6 linked regions of the Coturnix japonica genome follow. The protein of the gene in region 4 binds, or shares a complex with, the protein of the main gene of each other region. Links are inferred from orthologs where the notes say so. Each region holds a gene or a part of one and is shown on either strand. Other genes may lie near its edges. The genes, in order: RRN3, POLR1B, GTF2H5, POLR2L, TAF1B and GTF2E2.

Region 1 (5,558 bases), on a different chromosome or scaffold from region 4:
AAACTAGATAAAAATAAAAAATTATGCCTTATTTAGCAAGAGTTAAAACAAGAACACAAATAATTAGGCTTCTTTAACAATAATGAGATGAGCCACCTGAATTCTGGGAAATGTTTTTAAACTGGAAGAGAGCAAGATTTGGACTAGCTATTATTAGGAAGAAATGCTTTACTGTAAGGGTGGAGAGACACTGGAACAGGTTGCCCAGAGAGACTGTGGGTGCCCCCTACCTGGAAGCATTCAAGGCCAAGCTGGATGGAGCTTTGAACAAGCTGGTCAAGAGGGAGGTGTCCCTGCCTACAGCAGGGAGGTTGAAATGAGATGATCTTAAAGGTCCCTCCCAACCCAAACCATTCTGTGATTCTATGATTTTTTTTTCCCCTTGAATCCAAACAGTGCCACAAGCAAACACCAGAGGAATAGGTATGTCAACCCAAGCTGAAATTCAATACAGCATTCAAGATACAAAGATGCAGATAGTTAATTATCCTGTAAGAATTCAATCTGTCTAATCAATAAACACATAGTTTTCATTATTTATATCAATTGTATTTGAGTTTACCACAAGCAGACAACAAAAAGCCTCAAGAATTTCCCAAACAGACCAGTTTTATTGAAGTAAGTAAAATGAAAACAGACAACTCCTCCCTATCCTTTGGCTTTGACACTATCTAGGACTAAGAATGCTCTCCTGAACATTCAGCTTGAATCTTAAAAATACTGCACCAGTAAATACCAGTATTTTGCAAGTAATGAGGATTAACTCATAACACCATTGATTCAAGTATAAAAAAATTCCTGACTTTGTAATTTAAGGATGTACAGCTACTAAAGTTTTATATCAACTCCTGCAAAGTAATTTAGCAAAAATAAACCAACATAGTAAAAGCATTACAAAAGCATTCGTAAGCCATATTTCCTTCCATACTCACTTTCTTCATCATCATCAGAATCTGAAATGTCCACATCATCCTCTCTGATGGTTATTCGAGCTACCAAAAATGAGATCATTATTGGAATACTGTGCAAATTTATGAGGCAACAATTCCAATGCTAAATGGAAGTGCACTGACAACAGTCTTCAGTGTGACTAAAACATCAAAATTATCCACAAGACTTTCTGAAATAACTGTTTCAATCAGAAAACCAGGAGGTTCTTAAGAACATCTCATACGATCACCATTAGAGACTCTTTTTTTCAGTTGTAACATTACACAGTTCTTCCCCCTCCCAAACATCTTAAATAAACAGCCTTTAGAGTTTTAGTTACCCATTAGAATAGATCTTCTGAAGTCTAGGTACATAAAATGGTTTGTACTGCAATCCAGTCATTAAAGTTAAAGTAATCAATAGAAAATATACAATTAGATTGTGATGTATAATTCTGCATACACAACTCATATACAAAATAATTATTTTGAAATAATTAAGAATATTAAGAGGGAAAAAAAAAACTTACAAGGAACAAACTGGGATACAATCATGCTCAAGCATGGCCTAAGATGGACAGTTTGTGCTGACACCAGATTGCCAAGAAAACCCAGATATTCTTCCACTACCTCTCGGCTTCTTCTCAACCATGGCAGCTTCTGAAAGTAAGTAAAGACCAAGGTGTCAAACAGATGTTTTGAGTACTAAACTCTTAACCTTTCCATATAATAAATCAGTATTTACCAGCAAAACGCTGACCAGTTGCTCGAAGTCCTTGGTCAGATATGTGACAGAAGTTCGAAATTCATGCAGCCAGTTAATGATCTGGGCATCCTTAATATAAGCAGGAATAATATACAGGAATAATATATGTATTTTAAAAAAAATAAAATAAAAAAATCACAAATCTATTTTAATAAAAATATGACCAAAAACAATAGAATTTTTTTGAGTAGCAAAACCCACAGAATCACAAGTCAAAGATTAAGACTGTAAATTAAAATTATTTTCATACAAGCACAGAAGAAATTTCTTGAACTAAACTTGCACCCTCACCAATGAAAATTCTTTAACGCAAGAATACACACACACAGGCCGACCAACAGCCTGCATGGGAAGTTTATGTAACAAGCTGAGCAAGGTATGCAAACCTCATTCACAAACAATGTATCTGTTTTACTTAGAATCTTACTTTCCTTTTGGTTTTGCTCTTAGTTTAAGCAGAGGAAAATTCAAGTATTCAAGTAAGAAATATCTGGAAGCAGAACCAATTATACGGAGAAATTTTTACACTAATTTTGCTTGCTCTCCCCACAAGATCTGCTAAAAAAACGTGTATTTTACAGAATACTCTATTTAGAAGGAAAAGAAAATCTAGATAACATTATGCTTCCTGCAGCACCCTTCTAACAACTGTGTGGTTTAACTAAAACACTACAAAAAGGAAAAAAGAAATAGAAAAACACAGTAGCTATCAATAGCTGTAAGGAACAGCCCTGAAATTACTACTTGTAACAACTAGATACATAAGAATCTTAATGCTCAATTAACTAAGTTCTTAGTGAGAGCTGAAAAAGGCAGTAATTCACAACATAAAGGTTCTGACAGTCAGCAGTTGTGGTTTTACCTACATTAAGGAATCTGTAGAGACAGGCACTACTGACCTAGTAAAATGGTGTCTGGAAGAAACATCTCACCAAAAAACAGTTTCTCACTCTAAAGCAAAGTCAGTAAGCATGAGACAACACTTATCAGGATTCTGCACATAAGATCTGCTCATAAACAGACAGTAGCTGCTTTTCATTACTTCTGACAGTTACTATGAAGTAAAAAGCAGTTATACGTTATCCGGCATTTAAAGCAAAGGATTTGCTTTTAAGCACCAAAACAACTTGTGCAGTGACATTTGGACAGCTGAGTGTCCCCATGCCATCACCTTACCTTTATGTCAGGATCTGACAGCTGATGCTTTAGCAGCTCAAAGTCAGTGGTTTCACCCTTCACGGGGAAGAAAAATAAATGATGCTTGTTACGCTTCTAGAAAGGAACTAAAAAACATACATCAAGAAATAAACAACAACAACAAAAAACACCACGTTTCACTGACATATCTCAACAACTGAAAAGCGTTTAATCACAACGCACAGAACGCGAGGGCAAAGCACGTGAGGCAGCGGCGGCAGAACGCGTCCGAGAGGCGGAGCAACCCCTGCAGACATTGGCGTCCCATCCGCTCCACACAAGCCCGGGCTTGTGAGGAGTTTCCGCTCGCACAGCAGAACCACCCGGCACCAGCCCAGAGCCTCGGACAGGGCAGGGCAGCTCAGCTCCAGCTCTCACCAGGACACGTCGCCCACGTGGGCCCCGGTCCCGCGCCACACACTCACCCGTTCGTACTTGAGCAGAATGTCTGTCAGTGTGCCGCCGAACCGCACGGTCTTCTTGGGCGGGGAGCTGATGAACTCGTCCCCCGCGAGCATGGTCACGGCCCCGCGCATGAAGAAAAGCGGAGCCACCTCAGTCCCTGCACCCCCCCGCACTGCGCTACACCTCGTCCCGCGGGCGGCAGCACAGTCAGGCAGCGGCACAGCCATCACCACGCGCCACACCCGGCAGAAAAGAGCGCCAGGCCCCACCGGAAGCGGGGACCGCTCCTCCTCTCGCACCATAGAGAGGCGAGGCTGGAAAGGCAGGAACTGCCCCCGGCGGTGGCAGCGCAGGAGGACCGAGGCGGGCGCTATCCGCTATCCGCGCTCCCCTGCCGGGCGCTGCGCTGTAGAGCTTCCTCGGAAATCTTAACTCCAGATTTGACCTCAGCGCCACGCTGGAGTAGCCATTTTACTGAGAAAACGAACAAAACGCAATTGAATCCTCACGATCCTTGGGATGGAGTCTGCTGAAGGAGGGCTGAGTGCCGTCTGAACAGAAAAGCATGTGAACCTGGGAAGCAAGCACCTGCCAGCACCGAGAGACAGTTAAACCTCATGGAAACTTCATTTTTGCTGTCGTTCTCCAAACGCTCCCAACAAAGCACCGCATCCACATTCCTGTCCCAGTGCAGTAATGGCTTCTCCTCCCCCACCACTGAGCACTGCATGAACAGATGCCGTCCAGTTCCTCAATGCACTCCAAGTGAATATATTTCAGGACATAACCATAATTAAGAAGGAATTTAAAAACATGAAAACGTTCAACAACTTTCACACAACAACTTAGAAAAGTACAAATGAAAACACATTTTCCTATATAATCCTTCAGTAATGTTCAGTGTGCTCCCAACCTTCATCAGTTCAGCCATATACTTCACAGTTCCCTGGCTCACACAGACCAGCTACAGCAACAAAAAGATCTCAGCCCTTCTCCAGCTGTAGCATCTGCTGATCCTCTGGGTTGGCCGCCTCTGTAACAAGTAGCTCCTCCACAACGATTTCCCCCCTGGAGAACCCATTAGTCCCATCAGAGATTGTTAGAAAATTCATTAGTAACTTTCATTTCATTTCTCCCTGTATAAGATGTTCCCATAATAAGCCACATTTACAGCACAGGTGTAAAGAGCCTAACAGCAAGTACTTAACCCTGCAATATGGTTATAAATTAGAGAGATATGTGGTCCTTTGGTAGTCACACAAGGAAGTATCCTTTTGAGCAAGCGTTAAAGCTTAGCCAGCTACAAAAGACTCATGTATAAGCAACACAAAGCTGAAACCCGGTTATAGGAGACCATGGTGTGCCCCGGTGGCGCAAGTGGTAGGAATGCTGCCTTGCAATACTGGAGGCCCTGGGTTCAAATCACCCCTGTGGCGCAAGTGGTAGAAGTGCCGCTCTGCTACACAGAGGCTCGAATCCCGGGGGTTGGACTCGATGATCTCTAAGGTCCCTTCCAACCCGCACGAGACTATGATACTATAGTTGTATTTGAAGGGTGCAGACTGTCCTTTAGGTCTAAAGGAATCAAGCTACAGACATAAAGCTGTGTTCATGCAACCACACACACTCCTACGTGTGTTCAAATTCTTTGCAGTCAACAACGTAAATGCTCCTTGCATGGACTTTGTGCTGCATTGAGCAGCTGACAAGGACACCAGGAAACTAAGATAGTACTAAACACCTGTTAATGATTAGCTACTAACAATTGAGTTGCCAGCTCCTATTTAGTATTAAGCTTCATTATGCAGAATGCAAACAATAGGCTGCATGACAAGTAACTATTTTATATATTAAAAAACAAAATAAAACAAAACCCACCAGCCCATACCATAGCTTATAACAGCTCTGCTCCACAGCAAGCACTTTTTACCTCCTTGTTTAGATACATCATTAGTAACACCATGGTACTCCTCCACGAAGAACACAGTCTTTATTTTTTGATGTGCCAGCTCCTATATTTAAAATTAAATTGTACATACTATTCATAATTGTAAACATTTGAACCTCATATAATTTGAGTGACATGTCAGCAGCCAAATGGCATTCTAACAACCATCCATCACAGTCACTAAGTATCTGATACTGGGTAGAAGATTCATTGTAATTTGCGGTAAACTTAAAGCTGTACTCAATTTACTTTGATAACTATAATTGCAACACTAAATTAGAGAAAACTGTCAGAGCTAGTATGCGAATGGCTG
Region 2 (4,841 bases), on a different chromosome or scaffold from region 4:
GGGTGCTTCAGCTGTGTGTTACACAGCAGCTAAGGGTTAGGGCAAATTGTGGCCTGTGGCACCACAGCTTGTCTGGTCTCAGGGAATTTACGTGTTCTTTCAGCCTCCTGTGTTCAGGACTTAAAATTAGTCAGCAGAGATAGGTAATTACCCTGTGTTTTAATAAGCAAGGGCATTATACTGACTTTAGCTTACAGGATGTCATAAGCTAAGCAGGCTGCACTGTCTAAAGTTTGAATTCTTCCATGAATATCATGCCATGGGTTTGCATGCCCCCTTCATCAGCCGTTTAATAAAGAAATCTGTCTACGTGTCTTTTTCATGCCGTTCCCATTTTTTTTTTTTTCTGTGAGCTTCTTGAAGGCTTTTTAAATGTAGTGGAGAGACAGTTTGCTTACAGATGGGGGAGGTTTGTCAGCCAGTTACTGGTGAGCAGAATGGTCACTTAAACCCTGACATAAACAACTAGGAAACATTATAACACCAAGTGCTCAGAACACAGGATTTAAGCATGAGATGTAGAAAATGAATTGCTGAAGCTGAAGTGGATTGTAATAGGCTAAGCTGTCTTTTGACTTCTGTGGAGATAAGGAGTTAACTTGAGACAAAAGAAGCCTTTTAAGATAGAGGATGCAAGTTTGTTTGTTTGTTTTTCCAAGGGTTTTGTTAGACTGGAACCACTTGTGATCATCACCTCATTCATATCCACTGTGCTGCTCTTGAAGTACATTAATCCCACAGTATTTTTCCATTTCCAGAGGACCGAAAACCTAAATCATTGGGGTACCCAACCTCTGCTGTTTTATGGCCAGATACTGCCACGACTGTTCTTCTGATCTGATGTGCATCTGTCTTTCAGGCATTAGTTAATTTCACAGACTACCAGATTTTTGAAGAGCTGGTCAAAGACAAGAAAAACGACTCCTTTTATGTGAACTGTGTTACTGAGATGCTTAGAGCAGTAGCTGAAGCACATTGTTACACGCAACAAAACGTCCTCGATTACCTTGGAAAGAGCTTCAGAGTAAAACTCAACCTTCCCGAGTGGTACAGCAATGAGCAGGCTGCGGATTTCATTTTCAAGTACGTATGTACATGTTTAGGAGTGTGTGCTTGTGCTATTGCATTGAAATTCAAGCAACTTTAGGAATACTCTGCCATATTATTTCACACTCTCATTACGGTTTTTGTACATGCTAATAAAATAGCAGCGGGTGGCCAGTTCTTGGTGGAACTTCAGGATACTGTGATAATCTATTCTGTTCAAGTTGAAAGAAGGGGAAGTTGTGTGGACAGCTTTAGTTTCAATAGGTTGAACCATTAGGGTAATTTGTGGCGTTTTATCTGCTGTTTCACGCAGTCATTAGCAACTATTACGCGAATTACACTTAAATGATAGGAATTGGATGTTTTAAAGTCTCCCTTTTTCAATGGAATAAGTTAGGAAGAAATGGAAGAGAGGGGTTTGAGATTGCCAGCGTGACAAGCATTCAACTAACTTTCTTTTTCGGGTAATACAGATTTTAGTTCTTTGACCAAGTGTTTTAGTAAAGTGTTTTGAAAAGTATCATTTGAGATGCCCAAGTCCTTGAGTACCTGGAAATAAGGAGTAATCATCAGGTGTCTAAAAGCACTGAGGCAATTTTTCAGTGCCTCAGAGAAGCACTTAGAATTGTTGGAAGAACAGCTCTTTGTACTGAGAAACAGCGGATAATTTCAAGAAAGTCATACTGTAATTTTCTTCAGTCTAAATACTCTCGTGCTTTTTGGTGGTGTCTTATTGTCCCGTGGTATGTTCTGTACGCAATGTTTGTCAAAGCTGTCTGCGCTGTGGAGATAAGAGCAATTGTGGAAAGCATCAATTGGGGTGTACTTTGCATTGTAACTTCTACCTGGCCAGAACTTTCTTTGAATGTTTGTTTTTATGGTGAAGTTGTACAGACTTCAGAAGAGGGCGCTATGGAGCAGAGGTACAGAGTGACCAGATCCTGTGTGCTCATATTCTGGAAGGTTGTTGTGCTTACATCTTGGAAAGCAGGTTATTTCTGTTGTCTTGGAAGGCAGTTTAGCAGCTTTACTGCTTGCATTAAAATGTCATTCAGCACACGTTTCCACACAGGGATTTGATTGCAGTGTTCTGTGATCTGTTACTAGTCTCCAGCTTGGATTTTGGGGTGGAGTTGGGCACATGTATATGGTTATGTAGTGGTGTTTGGTGTCATACCTGCTGCAAAATAATGTACAAATCTTATCTCTTAAGTGGGCCTGTGTATGTGAACTGTATACTTGTAAGGATGTGTAGTAGTATATGATATACATTTTTTCCATGAGGCTCACCTTCATGTGATCAACTGGCTGTATCTTTCTAGCAACAGGGGGAAAAAGATTTTGATATTATTTAGCAAACATGAAGAACTGCTGGCGTGACGAGCTGGTGTTAATTGTCCTTCTTTCTCTCCCTCCAGCAAGTGTATCTGCATACATCTGACAGACAGAACTGAAAAATTCTACCTGCTTTGTATGATGACCAGGAAACTGTATGCTTTTGCCAAAGGGGAGTGCATGGAGGACAATCCAGACAGTCTAATGAATCAAGAAGTGCTTACTGCAGGACAGCTTTTCCTTATGTTCTTAAAGGTAAGGTCATAAGGCCTGTGTATGGAGGGGTCATCCAATCTAGGACCTGCAGTGGCCAAGGAGATGGGAGAAATACAGAGCCAAACTGAAGAGCAGGGAGCCTTGGTATACTATAAAGACTTGAATCTAATGCAGCACAGCACGAACCGCACTAAATAGGGGCCTGAGTAAAACATGGAGTGAAAAGCTTTGGGACCTTCAACAGAAATGAAAGCTCAGGCTTGGAGTCTGGCGAAGGAGGAACACCAGCTCGGAGGGTTTTGAAACAGCATATTGCTGTTGTGTCAGTTGATAGATTAGTAATAAAGATCAGCCTCTTTGTGGTGCTCCTGCTGTGTCACACAGCAGATGTGCAAGTAAATAACTGTCCCATCCTCTTTCTTTGAAAATCAGTGATTTATATTGTCATTTCTACCCCGTCTTTGAGTTCTTTTACAGATCAGGAAGTTAGGAGTATACTTCCAATTTACACTGTTAATTTATTACTGGTGGTGTAAAAGTGCAGCTTCCTAAACTATTCCAGTTCACTTTGGATTCAAGTTATTTCTGGCATTTCTTCATTGTAGAATGCCAAAAAGAAAGTAATGCTCAGAAGTGAAATTTGTCAACCCCAAGTAATAAAGCTTCCCTGAGTTACCAGATAACTTGTAATCTTTCTTTGCCATGTTAGCCAAAATCTTTAGCATCGCTTTGTTGAAACAATTCTAAAACTTGTCTACTACATGAGTGGTTTCAATGGCTGTAAAAAGAGAATAAAAAATGAATTATGTGAAGCATTGTAGCACTTTCCCAATCTGGTACCAGGAAGCAGAAGGGATTGCTGTCCTGTCTGGCCCTGTCAGATAAGCAGAGGAGTGAGCAACCTCTCCTGTAAATGCAAAGACTCTAAATAGACTGGCTTTCTGTTGCGTAGATAACTGAGCCACTCATTAAAGTGTCTGTGTTCCTGTATTTAATTCAAGTCTCACATTCTTAAACCACAGGAGAGGCTTGAGAACTGGTTGCAGTCTGTTAAATTCGTTTTGGAGAAGAAAACAGAAAAGGCCAACATCACCATCAATGCAGACAGCTTGATGAAGGCGTTCGGTCTGACCACAGATGTTACCAAGTCATTTGAGTATCTTCTTGCAACTGGTAACCTGCGATCTAAGACTGGTAAGTCTTAAGGTATAAGAAGCCCTTTTTTTTACCTAAACAGCATGAGAAACAACATAAAACTGAGCAACATCCTGATGTAAACCTCTGTTTTGTTCCTCAGGCCTTGGCATGCTGCAGGACAGCGGTCTGTGTGTGGTGGGGGACAAGCTGAATTTTGTTCGCTACCTTTCGCACTTCCGCTGCGTTCACAGAGGGTCAGTGTTTGCCCAGATGAGAACTACCACGGTGCGCAAACTGCTGCCGGAGTCCTGGGGGTTCCTGTGCCCTGTGGACACCCCAGATGGAGAGCCCTGCGGTCTGATGAACCACATGACAGCTGTGTGTGAAATAGTGACAGAGATGGTTCCTGTGACAGACCTTCCACCTATGTTATGTGCTCTAGGTACAGTTTACTTGCTCAGTTATCTAATGAAGCAGTCTTCATTTTTACCTTTCTGCCCTACAAACCCATATGTGGAAAATGTTCTAGTAACTTGAATTAAACTGCAGCTCCTCCAGTGATTAGCACAGTGATGGGAGTTTTGTTTCATCCAGAAGAGTGCTGGGGCTGGATGGGAAATGGCATTCTCACTTGTGCACATTTTATGTTTTCCATCCAGTCTCCTCTACCACTTTGCCCTGTCCAGATGTTCTGAATTTTTTCTGATGGCTCATAAAGCTGTTTTATGTGGATTGAGGCTTCCTGCAGAAATAACGTGCATTTGTCTGCTTTTTTGGCTGTTCCCTCCCCTGCCCCATCTTGTCACAGGTGTCGTCCCCATTGATGCGACCCCAAGCAAGCCGTACGCTGAGTGCTACCGCGTGGTGCTGGATGGTGCAGTGGTGGGCTGGGTCGAATGGGACCTGGCTCCTCAGGTTGCAGAAGCCCTCCGGCGATTCAAGGTTGTCTTCTTTAAAATGTGACTTACCTAAATGTGCTCCATATGCAGTGGCCAGAAATAAACCAAAAGACACCAGAGTTCTAAAGAAGCCTAACTTCTGTTTGCCTTTCAAGTCTGACCTGATAATTTATCTTATTCTGCATGTTAGTATTAGGCTTTTTGTTT
Region 3 (5,359 bases), on a different chromosome or scaffold from region 4:
CATCACTCATTTCTGGGTCATACCATTTCACAAGATAACTCTAAAGGAAAACCAGAAATCACGCATCAAAAAGACCCCTCTGCATGTTCTTAAGTGTATCATTTTATGGATTTTAATAAAGACACTATAATATTTCAAAGTGAGAAATAAAATTCAGTTCAAGAGTATTTTGGCTATGAAAATTACTCACTTTCTGAAATAGCCACTTTAATGCAGAACTTACTAACCACAGTCTATTAAAACAGTAACAACCCAAACTACTGAAATTTGCTTTTTCAGAATTGGCAGCAATCTCATTTCTCATCTTTTTACTTCTGAGTAATAGGAAAAGAGTTTTGGTCCATTAACTCGCCCACTCTCTCCTGAAGGAAGTTAACCAGCTCTGCTAATACAAAGACATGAGTTTCATCCAGGTCTTGTATGATGAACTTCTTTCCCAAAGCATTTGACTCATCCAAGTAGAGCAGAAACTGCTTCATTGCTGGGTCACTGCAGAGACAAATACACATCAGATTCCACCTCATTGTAATAAGATACAGCTAAAAATTAAGAGCATCCTTTTAAGACATTCTCAAAGTTCTTAGGAAAATTGTACCAACTTCAAGAGCTGCTCGCAATCAAAAGAATGTTAGAAGAAAGACAAGGTTTACACAAAGAAGCAATGAAAATGATACCAAAAGTGGGTGGTCCTCAGTCTTCTTCCACACACTCTTTTTTATGGGTGCACAGAGGTTTATTTTTGCTTGTTTCTTTCAGATGTACCTTACCAACACACTATGAGTACCAGACAGCATAAGCTGGTGTGCCCAGGCATATGTCAGGCAATACACACATATTTTCACATAATCAACATACAGGAGTGCACTCAGTGCCAGTAGATGTACGTTACAGCAGAAACACCGATCTTATTCAGCATTTGAAGATTATAATCCTTGAGATTTTGTCCTCAGAACAGTTTAGCTATATACTGGAATAATACAGAGGGAAGGAAGAAATCTGTATATTATCAGCATTTCATAGTTTTATTTTAATGTTTTACTTTAATGTTTAACACATTCAGAAGTATTTATTTTTTCCAAACTTCTTGCTGACTTTTTACCTAAGATGCCCTGGAAAAGCTGAGTTGTGAAAAATTGGTATCTGAAAAGTAAACAAGGGGACAGGTTTGTAATCTGCTCTCAGGATGGACTCATCAGCTACCATTATGCAAAGGCAAGAAGGAAACAAGAAAGCAACCAGCAGCTAGAAAAGCCAACATAAAAGTGAGTTACCCAAGGGGCTGTTCAAACTCTGATGGCATAACAGATGCTACAGACTTCTTGTCAGGCAAACTATTTCCTTCCAGGGAGGATAATAAAGTTTCAAGCTAATACTAAATGGGAAATGATCACAATATTGTACAGGAACACACAAATCTTCCAGAGCAAGTAAAATAAATTACAAAAAAACTACAAGGCTGTACTGTCTGCTTGAGATATTAGAATTTCTTGTTTTGCTAGTCAACAACTCTGCTTTGGGTGTCTTGAGAAAATGCAGGAAGGCCATTTCTTGCGTTCAGGTTTATCAGCATAGTAGCACGCAGCCAAATTGGAGCAGAGAAACTTTTTGTGATAGTGGAATTCATGCTCCAAGCTGCTCATACCAAACTATGAGGCATTCAGATGTGAGCTGGCTAATGTCCAGTCAGCTCAGAAGTAAACCACAGTAGGCAGACAGCTGTATGCACCATGAAGGATGTTCTGCACTCATGCAGTTACAGTCTGTTAATATGTTTACAATTTAAACATACAGCAGAAATCCTGTACATAATGTAATGATATATAATGACTCCACAAACCTTGAGTGACACTTTCTTTAACCTGGAGGTAATTCTTATCAGAACCTTAGTCTAGGGACTTCAGACTGTATAGAAACAAATGGACTGCACGGATATGAACAGCTTACTGTCTGAAATTATGAGCATATTCATTTTAGAGTAGCCAGCCTTGAGTGTGCGAACTGGAATTGATAAAAAAAGAAAACAAAAGACGAAGCATGGACAAATTTCCCTTTAGAATCAGAACACATCACCCAGGATGAAAACTAATTAACATTATTTACAATATAACAAACAAGATGAATACATGATGGTTAAGTCTAAGCAGAAAACAACATATCTGAAAATATGAGTCAGGAATTAAGATTACCCACAACTGTCTCTCTCCTTCTTCCCTTAAAAACCATGCCTTTCATCTGTCTGTTTGCTCAGTGTCACAGAATCACAGAATGACCCGGGTTGGAAGGGACCTCAAGGATCATGTAGTTCCAACCCCCCTGCCTGGCAGGGCCACCAAACATACACATTTACTAGATCAGGTTGCCCAGGGCCCCGTCCAACCTGGTCTTGAACACCTCCAAGGACGGGGCATCCACAACCTCCCTGGGCAGCCTGTTCTAGGGCGTAACCACTCTCCTAGTGAAGAACTTCCCCCTAACATCCAACCTAAATCTTTCCTCCTTCAACTTGGATCTATTGCCCCGTGTCCTGCTATTGTCAGCCCTTTCGAAGAGTTTACTCCCCTCCTGGGTGTAGGTTCCCTTCAGTTATTGAAAGGCTGCAATAAAGTCACCCCGCAGCCTTCTCTTCTCCAGGCTGAAGTTTACAGCAAATACATTTTTGGGTCTAGACTCTTAAAAGCACCTAAAGTATTTCCAGTCCTAAAGAAACAGTTGAGTAGATGCTGATGCTGTCACTAACCATTCAATCAGGACGCCCTTCAGAACATTCACCATCCTCGCAGCTCTCACAAACGCTGCAAGGTGCGGGTGGCAGCAAAGACTCCTGTTTGAGGTTACAGATAACAGCAGATGAAACCTGTAAGACAAAGAAACGCTTTAGTTGAACTCAGCGACCCAGGACCCCCCTCGCCCCGCCAGCACCCAGAGCGGCTATGCCCCATCCCCCCACCCACTCCTCCGACAGCAGCCCAGCCTCCCGTTGCCGTGTGCGAACCGTGGCCTTGCGAAAGGCGGCCGGGGCGAAGGCAGACAGGCTCCAACCCGTCCCTAGGTTAAACCGAGGACGGCGAACGAGTAGCTCCGGCCCAGCAAGCCCAACCACTGCCCCCACATACACGTACTACGCAAGTGCAGCCCTCGCTCCTCCTATTGCCCTCCTGACACTGTGCGGCGTGATGACGTTGAGTGCGTGAGCGACGGTGCCGGCTGCGAAGGGAGATAGGAAGCGGAAGGTACGGGTAGCGCTGTGGAGAGAGGGGGATGGCGGCGGGGCAGTAGGAGGGGCCAGGGATGGGGTCTGTCCGTGGTCCGATGATTGTGTTTGTCAAACCTCAGCCTTGAAGCCCCTCCTGGCGTGGGGCTGGCCGCTGGCATTGCCCCAGTTGTGCGGAGGCGACCGCAGGGAGAGCGTGCTTATCAGAAATGTAATAAATGAAGTCAGTGGATAAGTGCAGTGCTGAAAGGAGACAGGGCAGAAAGTTGGTGCATACAGTAATCGGTGCTTTCACATGGCCTGAAATGCCTCATTGCTTAACACTACAACTGTACATTCATTGAACCTCAATCTGTAGATGCTAAAATACATCCCTTATTAACTGTGATGTTACAGGGTATGTCAGCAAGAAAAGACAAACGTTTCCAAATCTGACTTGCCTACAATGTATATGAGTTGTTAGAGCCTGCTAAGTCAAAATACAAGACTTGGGTGTTAAGATAAAATTAATTATGAACAGCTAATTACTAAGTCATATGCTGTACTCAGCACTGTCTTCATGTGAACATGATGCGTTTAAGTGAGGATTACTAAGACATTGGAAAAGGCCTCACACAGAATCACAGAATTGTAGGGGTTGGAAGGGACCTCTAGAGATCATCGAGTCCAACCCCCCTGCCAAAGCAGGCTCCCTACACCATGTCACACAGGAAGGCGTTCAGGTGGGTCTTGAATATCTCCAGAGAAGGAGACTCCACCACCTCCCTGGGCAGCCTGTTCCAGTGCTCCGTCACCCTCACTGTAAAGAATCACAGAATCACTGTAAAGAATCACAGAAAAATGCCTCTGCCTCAAAGCAGAGCAGGTAGTCAGAGATGGATACTTACCAGTATTAGCACAAATATGTAATTGCATGAAGATTTTCTGTAAACTTTTGCTGTAACCAAAATGCAAACTACTAAATTCAGGAGTTTATAGGCTTTTTAATTTTTACTTAGAGTGCTTTATAACGCACAAAATGACATAAATATGCTTTACAACCTTTCCTGTAAAAAGGGAAACATGGCTACAAGTTTTCTGTTGTAATTGCCAAATCAATTTATTTATTTTTTTCTTTTTCTGAATATACAGAATGTCAGTGGCTGCTTACTGCATATTTTGCTGTAGACAAATAGGAACTTCTGGCCCAGCCACCAAACACCACCCATCTTGGAATAATATAAGTAAGTACAGTTCTGTAAGTATCAATCAAAGGTGTTATTAAAAGAAGAAAAGGTCTGTGTGGGTGTAACACTGTGCATGATGAAGTTGACAAGAAGAGACATAAATCTCCACATAACTTGTGATCAAAGCTTTTATTTTCCTGAAGCGGATGTCTGCTTCTGGCTTGCTTTGCATTGCAGTAGTAACACTAGATTATGTAGATGATGGAAGTCCCACCAAAATACAACCTCATTAAATTATTTTAAATTACTTCTGTTTCATCTTTGGTCGTTTTTTAATGATTAGCACAGTGAAAGCATTGCATCCATAAAGAGTTAGTAACAGAGCAGCAATCGAACAAACCTTGTTTCTCTCTCCTTCTGTACTGAATTTTTTTTCCTCTTCTTTAAGTTCTATGATCATCCCTGCTTAGTTTCTGCTTTCTTTAATGCCTTGTGTATAGAACTGTAAGAATTTTTGTTTTAAGGTGTATTTTCCAGCACTAAAAGACAGGACATTTCTTACCATTTCTGCTCTATGGGAATCACTGCATTTTTTTTGTTTGTTTCTTCTTTGCCAGTTATTTCTTTGGCATGTAACTGCTTCTTGTCTGCATGCCACAATTCTTAAAGTCAGAAGCTGATGGCAGTGGGTCTAGGGCAAACCTCCTTCATGCTGAAGAAAACCAATTATTCATGATAGGTGAGATACATTCCATTGGGTTTGCTGCTACTCATAGCAATAGAGTTGCACTGTACTTACAACCTTAAGTCTAGATAATCAGCTGAACTTCACCCAGCACAAATAATTCAAGTCTGACATGAATCCTCACATTTAAAAGGGAAGGTGCTGTAAGTGGCATGTGTTTATTCAACTCTTTGCTCTGTAAGTTATATTTTTCAAGAAATTCCACTCAATCTATTTGCTTAGGGAGATTCTGCAGGG
Region 4 (3,773 bases):
GCAGACCATACATGAAGTCAGGCAAAGAACGTCATCAGCGTGTAGAAATCTCTTCAGGTCACAGATCAAACATCTCACATCTTCTATGATCAAACAAGCTGCAGCCACAATAGAGCTATTAGATTACTAAGATCATCTCCAGCAGTCAAAGCAGGATGTCCAGAAAAGGCAAATTCAAACGCTGTGAAAACAGCAGAGGAAAGTTTCCTTCAAGAGAGATGCAAAGTTGCATGTGAGAACTGGGTGGGAAAGTTAAAACCTGCTTTCGTTTTTAAAAGCTAAACAAGAGCACTTCCTCCGGGCAGCTGCACGAATCCAGCCTACATCAACAATAACCCCCCACCCCACCACCACCATCCTTTCTCCCTCCCATCAGCAAATGTCTGTCTCCAAATACAAACGCCTTGCACGTCACAGTTCAACAAGAAAATTGCTTTGGAGCCCTGGTGCTGAAAACACATCAAAGCATCGTCTCCAAATTCTCAACTTCCCTCCCCCAAAAGAAAAGAAAGCAAAGGAGAAAAAGAAAAGAGAGTTTGGCTCCCACTGGCCTGAAACAACAATAACGATAACAATCTGCAGGAGGTTTCTCCACCCTCCAAGCCAAGCCGTGCTGCTTGCACACAGCTGAGTGCAATCACTCCCCGGGGCTGCAAAAATCGCTGTCTTTTCATTAGGAAACGTTTGCAAAACCTCCTTCAAACAACCTCGCCGGTTAAAACGAAACTATTTGCTCCTCTACAGTTCAAGTTAGGTCTGCGCGGAGGGTCAGCAACCCAGCGGTCCAAAACACAGGCACGAAAGGCGTATTAACATAAGCTGTGCATTAAGACTTTATACGCCTGACAGTAATGGCTCTGCGCCGCGCGCCGTATCAACTCGCAGATGCTCCAGCAGCAAAATACAGTATTTTGGGTGCATCCCCGCTCTGCCCAAGGACAACCGTGAAGCAAGAGGGCACTAAGGACCGACAGCGCTCGGGGTGACGCTTTAACCCAGTCTGTCCCGAACAGCAACGTGCCGCCCTCAAGTTACAAGCATCGCATAGCGCAGCACTCCGCGCGACGCTCACACGGGAGGATCGCACGCGGCTTCACGACGCATCCCCCGCTGCAGCCCAACTTCCCCGGCTGGGGGCAGCCAGTAAAGCTGCAACGCGACGCTCGCGGTGCCACGGCCGCCTCCACCCTCCGGGGAGCGGGATAGCGCCTCAAGGACGGCTTATGCCCCGTTTGCTTTCGCTGCGCGCGGCTCGCCGACAGACCGAGGAACGCTACAGCGGGCAGCCCTGAACCCCCCCACATCACCCCCCACAGCCCCCAGACCCGGAGTTCAGCAACTCCCGACTGACCTGCCGCCGCCACGGGACCGCTAACCTCGCTTACCCCGCTGACCACGGCAGCGCTCCGCAGCCCGGCTTCCTCCAAATGAGCGGGCAACGCCGCGCAAATCGGCGCCGAGCGCAGCTCACGGAGCGCAGCCCCTGCCCGGCTCCTTCCCCTTCCAAAGGGGAGCGAGGACACGGAGCAAACCGCCCCAAATTGGGGACGCCAACACAGCCGCGAGACGGACCGCGCCTGGCGCTACCAGTGCGCGCACCGGGAAGGGAAAGAAAAGGGAGGAAAAGGGAGGGGAGTGCGACGTGCTGCCCCGTCCCACAGCGCTGCCGTGCCCCGCTGGTTGGCGCCGGGCTGCAGCCACCAGTTGCGCTTCCACCCCGCGCGGCTGCGGTACCTCGAGCAGGACGCGATGAAGAAGTGCCTTCTGCAGAAGTCCGGGTGTAAAGCAACAAGTGAGAGCGCGGAAGGAAGGAAGGAGGGAGGGAGGGAAGGGCACGGCGCCTCCTCGGCTCGGCTCAGCCCGCCCCGCCGGTGTCTCCGCTCTGCGCTCCGCCGGCCCCGGCTGCCACCACGCGCCGCGCACGCGAAACGCGATCAGCAGCCCGCCCCGCTCGCAAACACTATTGAGCCGCGCAAGGAGCCGTAGGGCGGCCGCTACCATCCGCCGTCCTGTGCGGGAACGGGGGAGCTCCAGCGCCGCTCTGCATCCTCACGGCTGAGCAAGAACGGCTCGCACCGCCCGTGTCCCCCCGGTGCAGTGGGAGCGGCCGTAGGGCTGCGCTCGGGCAGCTGCAGGAGGAAGCGGCGCTGTGCGAACCATGATCATCCCGGTGCGATGCTTCACGTGCGGCAAGATCGTGGGCAACAAGTGGGAGGCGTATCTCGGGCTCCTGCAGGCGGAGTACACCGAGGGGTGGGTGTCATATTAACAGCACACGCTAATACCTTGCTTTAAACTAAGCTCAGAGCAATCATTGCGTTGCTTAGGAGCACTTACGAGCGGTTCTGACTCGTTTTGTATTTATTTCTTTTAATCGTGTTGTTATTTGTTAATAGAGATGCCCTGGATGCCCTCGGATTGAAGCGCTACTGCTGCCGCAGGATGCTCCTGGCACACGTGGATCTGATTGAGAAGCTGTTGAATTACGCACCGCTGGAGAAATGAGAGTTGATTGACCCAGCCACCAGCTTCTCCCAAGGAAATAAATGAAGGCCGACATCCACTTCACAGCTACAGCTTACATATGTAGATGTTTCTCTTTAATTACATACAGGTTGTTATTGGTTTCTTTTTGTGAACTTTAGGATGCTTTTGCCCGTAAAAAATAAATGTGTTTTATGAAATACAATCATTTGTCTATGTAAAATGTTGAACTAGAGGAAGCCTCTGCCTGTGGCCTTCCTGGAGTTGCTGGGTAGAGTTCAGCATACACTTCCATCTCACTATTTCCTCACAGTGGTCATTTTGAGGTTAGAAATACAGTGTTTGAAGCTAGGGCAATCAAGGGGGGTTAGAAAGAGAGCAAAGTTCCAGGCTCCAGAAACAGCACAGAGGATGTTTGTTTGCTATGAATGAGGCATTACTCTTAGTAGGTTGCAGTGCTAGCGGAGCTCATTTTTTCACTGAAGTCAGCCTATAGTGTCTTGTTAAAAATTGGGGCAGACTGGCAGCTCCATCACAGAAAACAGTAAATCAGGTGGCGCAGTGCTCCTCACTTAGGTAAAATACATCTGAAGGCAATGGATGTGAGAATTAATGCATGTAACTGTGAACAGGATCAGAGTCTTGCCAAACACCTGCACTGCTCTGTTGCTGGTATGAGTGCAAGCTTCCCACTTGTCAGTCATTTCATTGGCTTCATATAGGATGTATGTGCAGCCTGGGACTGCCTGGCCAAAACAACCCACCTTTCCACTGCTTGCTGGATCAGACTTCTCTGCTCAAACCTCAAGAAGAGATTGTCTCAGAAAGAACAGTTAGAGGACAGCCAGCCTCTGGCTATAGCTACTACCCTACCAATCTCTACACTTGATCTAACTTTTCCATTTATTACAATGGGATAGTGGCTAAGTTTTCTCATATTCAGCAGTTCTGCAAAGACACTAAAACCACATACTTCAGCCTAATGCAAAGAGAATTAAGCAACTCTAGTATCCCCTTCAGTTTGCGGGATAGCTTTTGTTCTGTGTGACTGCCATATTACACAACAAAATTCACTTAATAACAACTCTTTCTGGCTGTCTTTAAAAAGGGACACTATGAAATATAAGATGACTGTTTCCAGCTAAAATCCTGTAGGACCTTTCCATGTTACAGCAGAGCATTATGTGGAGATGCATGTAAACTTGCACACAGGAAGCTCCAAATGCCAGGTACTGAGACAGCACAGCAGCCCAGACCGCTGCCTCCAACTGAGGTGGCCAGGCATCAGC
Region 5 (5,154 bases), on a different chromosome or scaffold from region 4:
CTATGACAGCATTATTATGACAGCATTATTACTAGGACAGTGTTGCCCTTGCGGTCCATCTTTCATTGGACCAAGCAGATAAACAGTGGTAGGATAGTCCAGCCAAGACTGGCAATGTGCTTCATGGTCTTCAAACTGGTATGGGGCCTGGAGTTACTGTGCTGCAAGAAAAAGGTTGTCTTCTCTGGTCTGACTCTGGAAGTTTGAACCTTCTGCTCAGTCAGCCTTGCAACGTAGCAGTCAGAGGTGATGGTTTGTCCAAGTTCCAGGATCTCCCTTGTTATTTTGAGATAATGAAGTATTAGGTGTGAGAAGTGTTAAGAAAAACTGATCTTTCCCTTGTTGCGTCACAGATTAAAATGTATTGGAAATTTTGTAGCTCTTTAGTGCTGCTCATAGTATGAATAGCACAAAATGGGACAATGGTGCATTTGTGGTTGCATTTTGGGACTCTTGTGAAAAGTGTGACGCCAGTTAATCAGATGGGTGCTTTATAATGTTGATGTAATTACACATTGCCTAAAAATAGCCAATATAATTTCCCTGCCCTCCCAGTGAAAAATGAGCTCTGACAACAAGACTCCCTGAGAAGTTATAGTTGCTGAAACTCAGAGTTAAGGCTGGAGCATTACAACATGTTTTAATTCCTCTTGGCCAAAACATGCAGGTTTGGTTCAACCAACAGCACCTATAAATGAAGCTCAAACTTAACAGACACTTAGCGTGGGTTATGGAATCAGCTGGTTTGTTCTGACACCACTGAAATGAACAATTTAATTTGGTTTTTGTGAGCTGGTGGCTTTCAGGCAGAGGACAGACTGTATAAGACAGGCTTTGGTGTGAGAGAACTACATTCAGATTTCTAATCAGGAGGATTTAAGCAGTGACTTTGCACCCTGAAGTGTGACTCCCATGGCTTTTGTGGCACTCCAGAATAGTGTATCCGTTCCTCCAGTTTGAGGTAAAATGTAAATGGGTGTTGGGCCAGAGGGAGTGAGCAAATGACTCCGTAGTCTAGTAATTAGCACACTTGCCCATAAATAGGGACAGACAGGTTCCAGTCCTTGTTCTGGTGAATATTTAAGACCGCTGCTCTGAATCAGACAAGAGGGGAAATGGAATCTCTGCTTCTCCACATCCCAGGGCAACACCTTGTAAGCGAGAGGATGCACAGGGTTTAGGCAGGGAATAGCACCTGAATCTTCATATGAATGTAAAGGGTTTTTTAATTGAAGCAGCTGGATGTTGTGCTATTTTGAACTCCTCTGAGTTTTTTTCAGGACAGAACTGACACGGTAGATCAGAATTGTGGTTTAGACAATTGATAAAATGTTGGTGTTTTCTTCTGATTACAACTGAGTATATAAATGTTTGCAAAATACTAACTACATGCACTTGTAATTCAGGGCTTGCTTTCTTCCTTTCTTTCTTTTCAGGTTGTGTGGTTGTTTGGCTCACTACAGAGAAGAGGACTTTCCGAAGAGTTACCATTTTGTACTGGGACTTTTCTCCTTCCTTCTGAGGATACAGCCCTCCTCCATCCACGAAGAGGTGTGTGCGATAGAACACAAACTTTTTAATAAAGTACTCTCTAAAAAGCCAAAACACGGAAAGCGACGCCGAAGGAAGTAAAAAGACCTGAATATTATAGTATTGAAGCTGTGTGAATTGGTTTGATCCCAAACCGTGCTATTCAAACTGATACCGATGCTTTTGCCTACATAGAAATCTTCTGTTAAGGTTTTAGTACTGACATCTACTACTGCAGTTTAGCTGTAGTGTCATGTTATCCATAACTGAAGTTGCTGGTTTCCAGCTGTGAGCTACCCGGGAAACTGTTGACCAAGGTTTATTTCCTCACTTTGCAGCAGGGCCAACAGGAAGCTATGAAATTACCATTTTTTTTTCCACATAATTGTACATGCTTTGAATGTACTGGACGGCACATTGGCATCTAATTGCATTGCAAGGCTTTGCAATTAAAATGCTACTTATTTTTTTACTGACTTGTATGACTGCAACTTCGTTTCTAGAAAGTAATGTTTACTTTGTTTTGAAAGAGTGTGTTAACAAATAAAAGGAGCAGGTGGACAATGTTTTCTCTACAGTGAGTTGTTCAGCTTTTGTTTCTTAACTGTGTGTTGTGGCAGTTCTGGCACTGCTTTCAACATCTCCTTGCATCCCAAGTATCTCCTTGTCTCTTCTTAAGCCTAAGCCTCTCATTTGAGTGTAAACCTTTTGGGTCTGTGTTCCACTCCAGGCTCCACAGCTTTTGTAACTGCTTTTATACTTGGAGCCCTCCATCCTGTTTCTTACACAGCAGTGCTGGTCAGATCCTCCTGTCACTCTTCTTTCACTGCGGTCTCCTGAGTTGTACTTCATTTCTTATTGCTTCGTATCATAGCACTTTCACCACTCATGCCTCAGCCATTCTCCCAGTTTCTCATGCTCAAACTTATTTATGCACCATGTTTTTATTCTATCTCAGACAAGGAATAAATGAAGTTGGGTGCTACCACTACATGAAAGACACCATAACATATGCATATGTTGAACAGAGATGTTGAGTAGATATACAGATGAGTAATACTGCTTTCAGTTGAATGAAATAAAATTCAGTAACTCCATCTGTCACTCCCAAGTATAGGAGTTCCCAAATACACTTGATCGGTAACATAATCAGCAGCTGTTTCTGGGTGGTGTTATAGACAAAAGTGCTGTCTAGACATTTTAAATAGTTCTTACAGAACAGGGGTTTAGAGCGGCGGTCCCTTAATGTGACTCTGATGTTCAGATGGGAAAGTACTGTTTTAGCAAACTATGTTTTGCGATGGAAATTACAGAATGAGCTGTTACTTGTATTAAGTATTTCCTGAGCAGTATAGTTCAGTGTGTCTGACCACATCACCATGTTGTGCTGGATACCTCCGGACTTTCTGATGCCTTGAAGTGGTGATTGCATTAATGGAATGTACTGACTGAATTGGACGTTGTGTCTGGTGTCTGTATTGTAGAATTAGCTGTTTGCTGTTATGCTTGACCTCACCTGAGTGAACTGCTGAAGTCGGTCAATATGGAGAAAAACCATCTTTTGTTCTTGTTCTCTGTAAGTATTTCTATCAGTTAGAAACCTACAGAAGAGTTAATGCTTTCAACAGGGCCTGCTCCAACTACTGAACATATCCCATTTGTTTTACTGTAGTATTTGTTAAAGTTTAGAATTAGCTATCTAAAAGACACTTTATTATATGTAAAGGATCCATTTAATTCAGAAGTCTTTATTTGAAAGACTTAGACAATTATAGGTATATATTTCTTTTAAAACTACTGTAGTAGTAAAATCTCAGCTTCATAAATTAAAATACTGTACTCGTTACATTGTTACAAATGTAACAAAGCTCCCTTAGATGTTAGAATAAATTAAAGTTCTACTTTAATAAACTGGAATAAAGCTTGCAATTAAGCATCAAGAGCCATGTGCCTCCTGGACACATAGGTTAAGAGTCAGATTTAAAAGTTAAGGGTGTGCCTCTCAAATACTTAGTGTTAGTTCTACCCAGTTTAATCAATTGACACTTATCCTGGAGTAATGGTGTTTAAGAAGCTGATGGGCCATGGTTGTGCCTTATCTTCAGCAGAGTGTAGCCCAGCTCTCTTAGGACAACTGCTTTGAGTCCACTGAACGTAACCCTGGGGAGGAGGCGTTGGTTGAGCAGCTGCAGGCGGTTGGCTGCAGGGCAGGGTGGCTGCCACAGCCCGTTCCAGCCGCCTCTTCTTCCTACCTCAAAGTACTGCTTCTTTCTGTAGCTCTTTGCTGAGAGTTATGAGTTCTCCCTGAGCCTTCTGACATGTACATTTTTGTATTTCTCCCCTTGGAAATGCAGGTCTCCAAGTGAGGAGGGTTGGTTTGGTTTGGTTTTTTTAACGCTAAATGTCAAATGTTCTTATGTAGATTAAAGCTAAGTGGGTTGTTTTTTTAAGCTTAGATTAAATGCTATTTTCTATCATTCAGAGTACAAATGCAACCATACTTTAAGATTTTTCTTAAATAAAGCAACCTTCCTATTGATTCTGTGGAGAACTATCAGACGAGTCATTTTCTTTGGAAGCCAACACAGCTGGAATTTTACCTCACTAGTTTTTCACTGCCTCCATGTGTTTGCATTCTTGATTACCAACTTAATCTGTCACGTACTTTTTTCTTTCTCAAGTTCTTACCATTTTGCAGACATGAAGCAGAGATATTTGGCTTTCTCCTCTTTTGCTGAGGGCCCTGAGCTTGATTTAACAAGAGAGCGAGCATCAGCAAAGTCCCGTGCCTGCAGGCAACGCTAGTCTAATTTATTGTCAATACTGGGTTGTATGGGCTCTTGGTGTAATTACGTCTTTCCTAACCTATTTGTAGCACGTCCCTTGAAACAGCTGTGTTTGGAAGATCTGGCAAAGCTTCATGCAGTGTTGCAGGCAACACAGTGAGTAACTCACTTCCTTGTAACTTCCTGGGAAGCTCAAAAGTTCCTTCCCCTGAATGCTTAATGCCAAGTTTTCTTCCTGGATGGATAAATAAGACTTTTGCTGAAATGCTATTTTAGGCTGTTTACGGGGTGTTGTCAAAAGGGTGCTTTTGCAGGGCCAGAAGTAGAAGGCCCTGGACCCTCCTGCATTTTGGGAAAGGTAAAGTCTTAGAAACGTGGAGTCCTGGATAGATGCCTGCTCCATGGCTAACCTGTCCCTTTCCTGTGTCAGGCTGGGATGTTTTGTGCTGATCAGAGGTATGGGAGAGCCAGGATATAACTTTCTTTGAGGAATCTCACATTTTGGTCCAAAAGGAAATGGGCTTCCTGGTACATGTGGTTGTATATTAACACGTGGATTGGCCAAAGCAGCACATCTCAGTGCTTTGTCTTTGCACTGAGAGCAGAATGCTTACTTTTACCATCTCCTCCGAGGTTATTGGTCTCATCGCTGCAAAGCTGTTTTGCTCCTGGCGTGGTTATGTGCGGGAGGGCACGAAGGGGATGCCAAGGTGTGGGAACAGGCCTAGATGAAAGAGCTTTCCTCAGCACTGCGTGTGTTAAACAAGAGACTGAGTAAGGTTTGGCAGAACGCGGGATGATGAGCGCTCATGTCCTCACAAGAGGTTACAGCTGTGCT
Region 6 (4,232 bases), on a different chromosome or scaffold from region 4:
CGGCTCAAAAAAATGCAGCAGGCAGAAGGGAATCTTTGTCATTGAACAAAGATGACAGAAAAGAACAGTTTTGCAGGTGTGCCATGGGTGCTTTAAAGCAGAGCTGTAATGGAAAAGTAAAAAGCTCCAAGATGAATCACTTGTGCTAACCTGGAAGAAAAGGGAAAGAACAGGTTTCAAAACCAGCATGCTGCCTGCTTTTTATATATACACATATAAATATAAAAGGAACCTCCTACTGGTGTTGAGCATCTCTTTACACAGGACTGACATGTACCATGTTCAAAGTGCCTGTTTCACAAAAGAGCACACTCTAAAAAGCTTGTGTACTATACAGAAGGATAAATGCTACACTTACAGAAGTTTATTTTTCCTCCTGCGCTTTCCCAAGCAGACGTAATCTGTTCAGCACTCCACCAACAAAGCCTTATTCTTCATCTGTTGGTGTGCCCAGATCCAGCGGCCTCTGCTCCAATCCTGATACATTAGGCAAGACAGCAGCTCATGCGCAGGCAGCGGCAAACTGTTGGCAGGTATCACACTCATCTGTTTCATCTTTGATCCTAACCCCAGAAGAGCTGAGGAACAGCCCCTCTGCAGCAGCACTGTGAAAACAATATCAGCATTGACTGACTTTGGTTCAGTACATAAAAATAAGTTATCAAGAAGACATAATTTGGCTACACTCCATGTTAGGCAGTCTGTACTGCAACCGACATGAGGCATCTACAGCGAGCTTTCATTTAAGGTGGTTTTCTCCCTCCTCCAAACAAGAATGATGAGAGATGACAGGGTTAGCCCAGAACAATAAGTCATTGAGAAGATTAAAACACACCAAAGACTCCTTTACCTCTTTGAAAAGGAAAACACAAGTACACGCTCTCATGTTCTTTAAGGAAGAAACACTGGAAACAAGCACTGTAAGTTTATTAACTTAAAAAAGAAAAAAAAAGAAAAAAGTTGCAGTATTACACTGTCAATTTATTTCCCCTACCCAACAGTAGGACTGTGCAACACAGGTACATTCACTACAGTGAGGAGAAATCGCCTGTGCAACAGAGCTGCATCTGCTGCAGTGAGGAGAAACAGCTGAGAGCAATTTCTGATGAGCATCGAGAAGCAGCAGCTGCAGTGCCCCCCTGCAGCCTGCCTGGAGCTCTGGAGAGGGTTTGTTCCAAGTCAGAACCTCAGGTACCATCAGTTTGGTAAAGTTCAACTCCATAGCAAGGCAGGAACACACAAACTGTGGGCATATTTGACTGTAAAAGAAACTCGCCTGCAGTGATTTTAGGAATAGGTTTCCCTGAAATAGGTACAACAATGCTGTATTCAATTCTACGAAAGCTCCTCTGAAGTAATTCCAGGTAAACACCCATTAAGCAATGTAAAAGCAGAGTTAAGCAGTGAACAGGAACTCCTGTATTTCATGTTGAGCACCATTTATCACTCTATGCCAAGAGGCAATTTGAGCGAACCTTTTATTTGAAGACACATTTCCAATTAGCTAATTAAATTAATCTCTAAATTTAGTAGTCCAAACTTGCTTTTAAACAGATCTGCTCCATCTTGTCAGCCACTGGGATGAGGGAAACACATCACATTACTGTACAGAGTCAGTCTTCCTGCAAGCAGTCGCTGAGCCTGAGTGGCAAAAAGCCTGTGGAAAAACGTCTGTTTGCTTCAAAATTCAGCCAGTCACTGTTGGCCAGAAGTGACATCAGAGTAATCTTTCAAGACTCCAGCCAAATGGTCATTGTGAGTCTTAAATCGACGTTTCTTCTGAGAAGTGGGTTTCTTCCTCTGAGCAGGAGCCTAAAGGAAGAAATAAATGGCAGTTAAAAGATCTGCCTTCCAGCTGCAGCATCCGACCTGAGGTGGGACACACTGTGCTACCTGCAGCATTAACCTCACTGCAAAGGGGAGCTGTGTGCAAAGAAGGAGTAGGCAGGAGGCGAACTGTCTTTATGCAGGAAGCAACTGCACTGAATTCATATCTTGGCGGGGAATTGGCACTGGGGATGCGGCAGAGCCTCCTGGTATCTTGTGCACTGTAGGAGAGCTGGCATTTGTTTGAAAGTGGGATTTCTGAACACTCCCAGAGAGCTACCGAAGAAGGCAGACAGCCCATAGCTACAATGATGTGCTCAAAGACACATAGAGAATAAGCGGAACACAAGAGAAGTGCCCACATTACAGCACATATTATAACATCCACTGTAGCAATGGCAGAAACCAAGAACAGATCCTGTGTGGAAGGGCTTTGTGAAGGGCCAGTCTGAAGCCAGGAGCAGAAGAGAAAAGAGATGGTAAACCATGTATCAGTAAATGTAAAAAGAAAAAACAGCAAACTTGTTCTAAGCCAGGAAGAAAGCATCTTTGGAGATCTTGTTGCCATTCTGGCCCACCAGTAAAGCATGAGCACATTGCACTCTGTCTGGGGAACAGCCCAAGAGTGGTGGGAGGCGGGTTACACAATTCCTATCAGCGTTTTCAAGGCTGTTCAGCAGAAAAGAAAAAGGGAAGAGAAAATCTTCTCCCAAAAGAGCTGCTATTGTTTTGCTCCTAACGTACTGTACAGCTTTAAGGAGAAGCTTCTACTTTGGAGTTCTCAGGGATTTTTGGCATTTGCCCTCTTCTTGATGTTGCTGGGATTACGCTGGCTGAAACGAGTTACAAAAACACTGGCTGCTGGCTTCAGCATTGTTTTTTTGAAGCTTCTTAAAATTGGTTGCACTTCCTTGAGCTACATAAAGCAGCTGTGCATAGGCGCAGGAATTAACATCAGCAAGGAGGGTCAGCAAGGGGGGGAATTTTTCAGAAAGATCTGCAATTTGTATTTCTTACTATTCTCCTCGGTCCAGCTTCTCGCATGGAAGAAATACCCTGTCGTTTCAGGTACTCTTCAACTTTGTCCTCATCTATAGAATCCATGGGAATGCTCCTCCACAGCTTCCGAAACTCTGAAACACGAAACAAACCCTTGTTTCACAACTCAGTGAACAAACCAAACCATAGGCAAAGCCCTTGCACGAAAGGAAAGAAGAAACAGATCTGAGTTCTGACACTGAAGTACTCTGATACAGCAGCCTGCAATGCAGTTTTTGCTGCCAGCAGGCACCCAATTAGCACAGCCTTTACCCACTCTTAAAGTTGGATGCACTTCCAAAACCCACCACCAACAAAAGCTCCCAGTGCTTCATGGAAAAAGATGAGCTGATTCACATCTGCATTAGGCGTACCCCAGCATCCCAGCTTCAGGGGCACCCACAGACAAAATGTGTCTGTTTAATGGTAATTTTCTGCAGCATTCATCCTTCTGCCTAGCACCCCCGTGGCAGAGCAGACTGTTAGTGTGTTTTATAAGCCTCAGTTCAAATGATCCTGGTGAAAGGTAATAACTAACCATAAATGGCAACTTCATTTACACATCTTCCACTGCCATTGTCATGGGAGACTTGCCATCTCTTAGTCCAATTTACTGAAGATTGAAGACATTTAACTTCAGCAGTTGCAAGCTCGTTTATCGCTGTAATCTAATACATACCATGCCGTATGGATAATAAATTACTAGAATTCTTCTGATGTTAAAAAGAAGAGAGATACCTTAAAAACCACAGCAGCAGGAAAAAAAGCAGAGACAGTAAGTCTTAATTAGAGCAGCTGCCATCTGCCTGAGCACTTTCTGCCTCATGTAAAGTTTCACAGAGCCTCTGGAATGCCTTCTCCCGGCAGCGGCTGGTACAGTTCTACCTCCCTTCATTCCCCAGGCAGTCAGTTAGATATATCCTGTCAGCAGGTTTGGCTAACAATCTATAAATAAAACACAAGGCGCACATAGCAACGCAAGACTAAATTTTCCCCTTTATTTCCAGATAAATTTTGTATACAGTTGTCAAAACAACCACAACTTCTGCATGCGTAAGAAGTTGTCCTATGCAGCAGGCGATGAAACACTCCAGTGACAATCTGCCACAAACACACCAGCTCTGGGCACACTGCAACTAAATGGTCCTGTATAGAGCTGTAAAGAGCAGAATTCCACCCTGCACTTGGGCTGTTCCCTTCCTAATGCATCTTGTTTTTCTCAGAATGGGCATGCCTTAAGTCTCAGCTCCTTCTTCCCATTGCCAACAGAAAGGGGCTGTTCGAGCTTCTCCGGAAACAAAAGAAAGGAATTCTGCCAGGGAAGAGCAGCAAATGTTCATTTTTGGTAACGCAGTGCTTTTTAGAAC

Evidence for each region.
Region 1: POLR2L (region 4) and RRN3 share a complex: the UniProt entries of both Homo sapiens proteins name them as parts of the pol I pre-initiation complex. The link is inferred for Coturnix japonica from reciprocal best matches to the Homo sapiens genes POLR2L and RRN3.
Region 2: the proteins of POLR2L (region 4) and POLR1B are in contact, whole or in part, in a cryo-EM structure (PDB 7OBA), measured with the Homo sapiens proteins. The link is inferred for Coturnix japonica from reciprocal best matches to the Homo sapiens genes POLR2L and POLR1B. Residues at the interface, in NP_066951.1 of Homo sapiens: Met1, Ile2, Pro4, Arg6, Cys7, Phe8, Thr9, Cys10, Gly11, Trp18, Tyr21, Leu22, Leu25, Gln26, Glu31, Gly32, Arg42, Tyr43, Cys44, Arg46, Arg47, Met48, Leu50, Ala51, His52, Val53, Asp54, Leu55, Glu57, Lys58; in NP_061887.2 of Homo sapiens: Leu16, Leu19, Thr20, Asp21, Pro22, Tyr24, Gly25, Pro27, Ile157, His160, Glu161, Glu162, Ala163, Phe698, Leu701, Thr702, Arg713, Gln715, Thr716, Pro717, Gln718, Ser719, Leu721, Asp733, Asn734, Pro736, Asn740, Ala741, Ile742, Asn760.
Region 3: POLR2L (region 4) and GTF2H5 share a complex: the UniProt entries of both Homo sapiens proteins name them as parts of the TBP-based Pol II pre-initiation complex. The link is inferred for Coturnix japonica from reciprocal best matches to the Homo sapiens genes POLR2L and GTF2H5.
Region 5: POLR2L (region 4) and TAF1B share a complex: the UniProt entries of both Homo sapiens proteins name them as parts of the pol I pre-initiation complex. The link is inferred for Coturnix japonica from reciprocal best matches to the Homo sapiens genes POLR2L and TAF1B.
Region 6: POLR2L (region 4) and GTF2E2 share a complex: the UniProt entries of both Homo sapiens proteins name them as parts of the TBP-based Pol II pre-initiation complex. The link is inferred for Coturnix japonica from reciprocal best matches to the Homo sapiens genes POLR2L and GTF2E2.

Annotation. Positions count from the first base shown.
Region 1 is NC_029529.1:43,749-49,306, forward strand, and holds the start of RRN3 (RNA polymerase I-specific transcription initiation factor RRN3), read right to left. Parts: upstream 3,583-5,558; 5' UTR 3,525-3,582; coding exon 3,318-3,524; intron 2,929-3,317; coding exon 2,872-2,928; intron 1,765-2,871; coding exon 1,675-1,764; intron 1,590-1,674; coding exon 1,460-1,589; intron 993-1,459; coding exon 933-992; intron 1-932. UniProt on the Homo sapiens protein: Required for efficient transcription initiation by RNA polymerase I (Pol I). Required for the formation of the competent pre-initiation complex (PIC).
Region 2 is NC_029518.1:13,947,937-13,952,777, forward strand, and holds part of POLR1B (DNA-directed RNA polymerase I subunit RPA2), read left to right. Parts: intron 1-859; coding exon 860-1,083; intron 1,084-2,465; coding exon 2,466-2,637; intron 2,638-3,620; coding exon 3,621-3,792; intron 3,793-3,895; coding exon 3,896-4,177; intron 4,178-4,543; coding exon 4,544-4,677; intron 4,678-4,841. UniProt on the Homo sapiens protein: Catalytic core component of RNA polymerase I (Pol I), a DNA-dependent RNA polymerase which synthesizes ribosomal RNA precursors using the four ribonucleoside triphosphates as substrates.
Region 3 is NC_029518.1:46,899,736-46,905,094, reverse strand, and holds the start of GTF2H5 (general transcription factor IIH subunit 5), read right to left. Parts: upstream 3,220-5,359; 5' UTR 3,120-3,219; exon of another isoform or gene 2,993-3,119; intron 2,855-2,992; 5' UTR 2,773-2,854; coding exon 2,738-2,772; intron 490-2,737; coding exon 309-489; 3' UTR 1-308. Other genes in the region: protein SERAC1, read left to right, coding at 4,344-4,434. UniProt on the Homo sapiens protein: Component of the general transcription and DNA repair factor IIH (TFIIH) core complex, which is involved in general and transcription-coupled nucleotide excision repair (NER) of damaged DNA and, when complexed to CAK, in RNA transcription by RNA polymerase II.
Region 4 is NC_029520.1:8,951,200-8,954,972, reverse strand, and holds POLR2L (DNA-directed RNA polymerases I, II, and III subunit RPABC5), read left to right. Parts: upstream 1-2,075; 5' UTR 2,076-2,158; coding exon 2,159-2,253; intron 2,254-2,396; coding exon 2,397-2,505; 3' UTR 2,506-2,689; downstream 2,690-3,773. UniProt on the Homo sapiens protein: DNA-dependent RNA polymerase catalyzes the transcription of DNA into RNA using the four ribonucleoside triphosphates as substrates.
Region 5 is NC_029518.1:88,001,181-88,006,334, forward strand, and holds the end of TAF1B (TATA box-binding protein-associated factor RNA polymerase I subunit B), read left to right. Parts: intron 1-1,436; coding exon 1,437-1,632; 3' UTR 1,633-4,069; downstream 4,070-5,154. UniProt on the Homo sapiens protein: Component of RNA polymerase I core factor complex that acts as a GTF2B/TFIIB-like factor and plays a key role in multiple steps during transcription initiation such as pre-initiation complex (PIC) assembly and postpolymerase recruitment events in polymerase I (Pol I) transcription.
Region 6 is NC_029519.1:30,653,784-30,658,015, reverse strand, and holds the end of GTF2E2 (transcription initiation factor IIE subunit beta), read right to left. Parts: intron 2,961-4,232; coding exon 2,845-2,960; intron 1,813-2,844; coding exon 1,696-1,812; 3' UTR 888-1,695; downstream 1-887. UniProt on the Homo sapiens protein: Recruits TFIIH to the initiation complex and stimulates the RNA polymerase II C-terminal domain kinase and DNA-dependent ATPase activities of TFIIH. Both TFIIH and TFIIE are required for promoter clearance by RNA polymerase.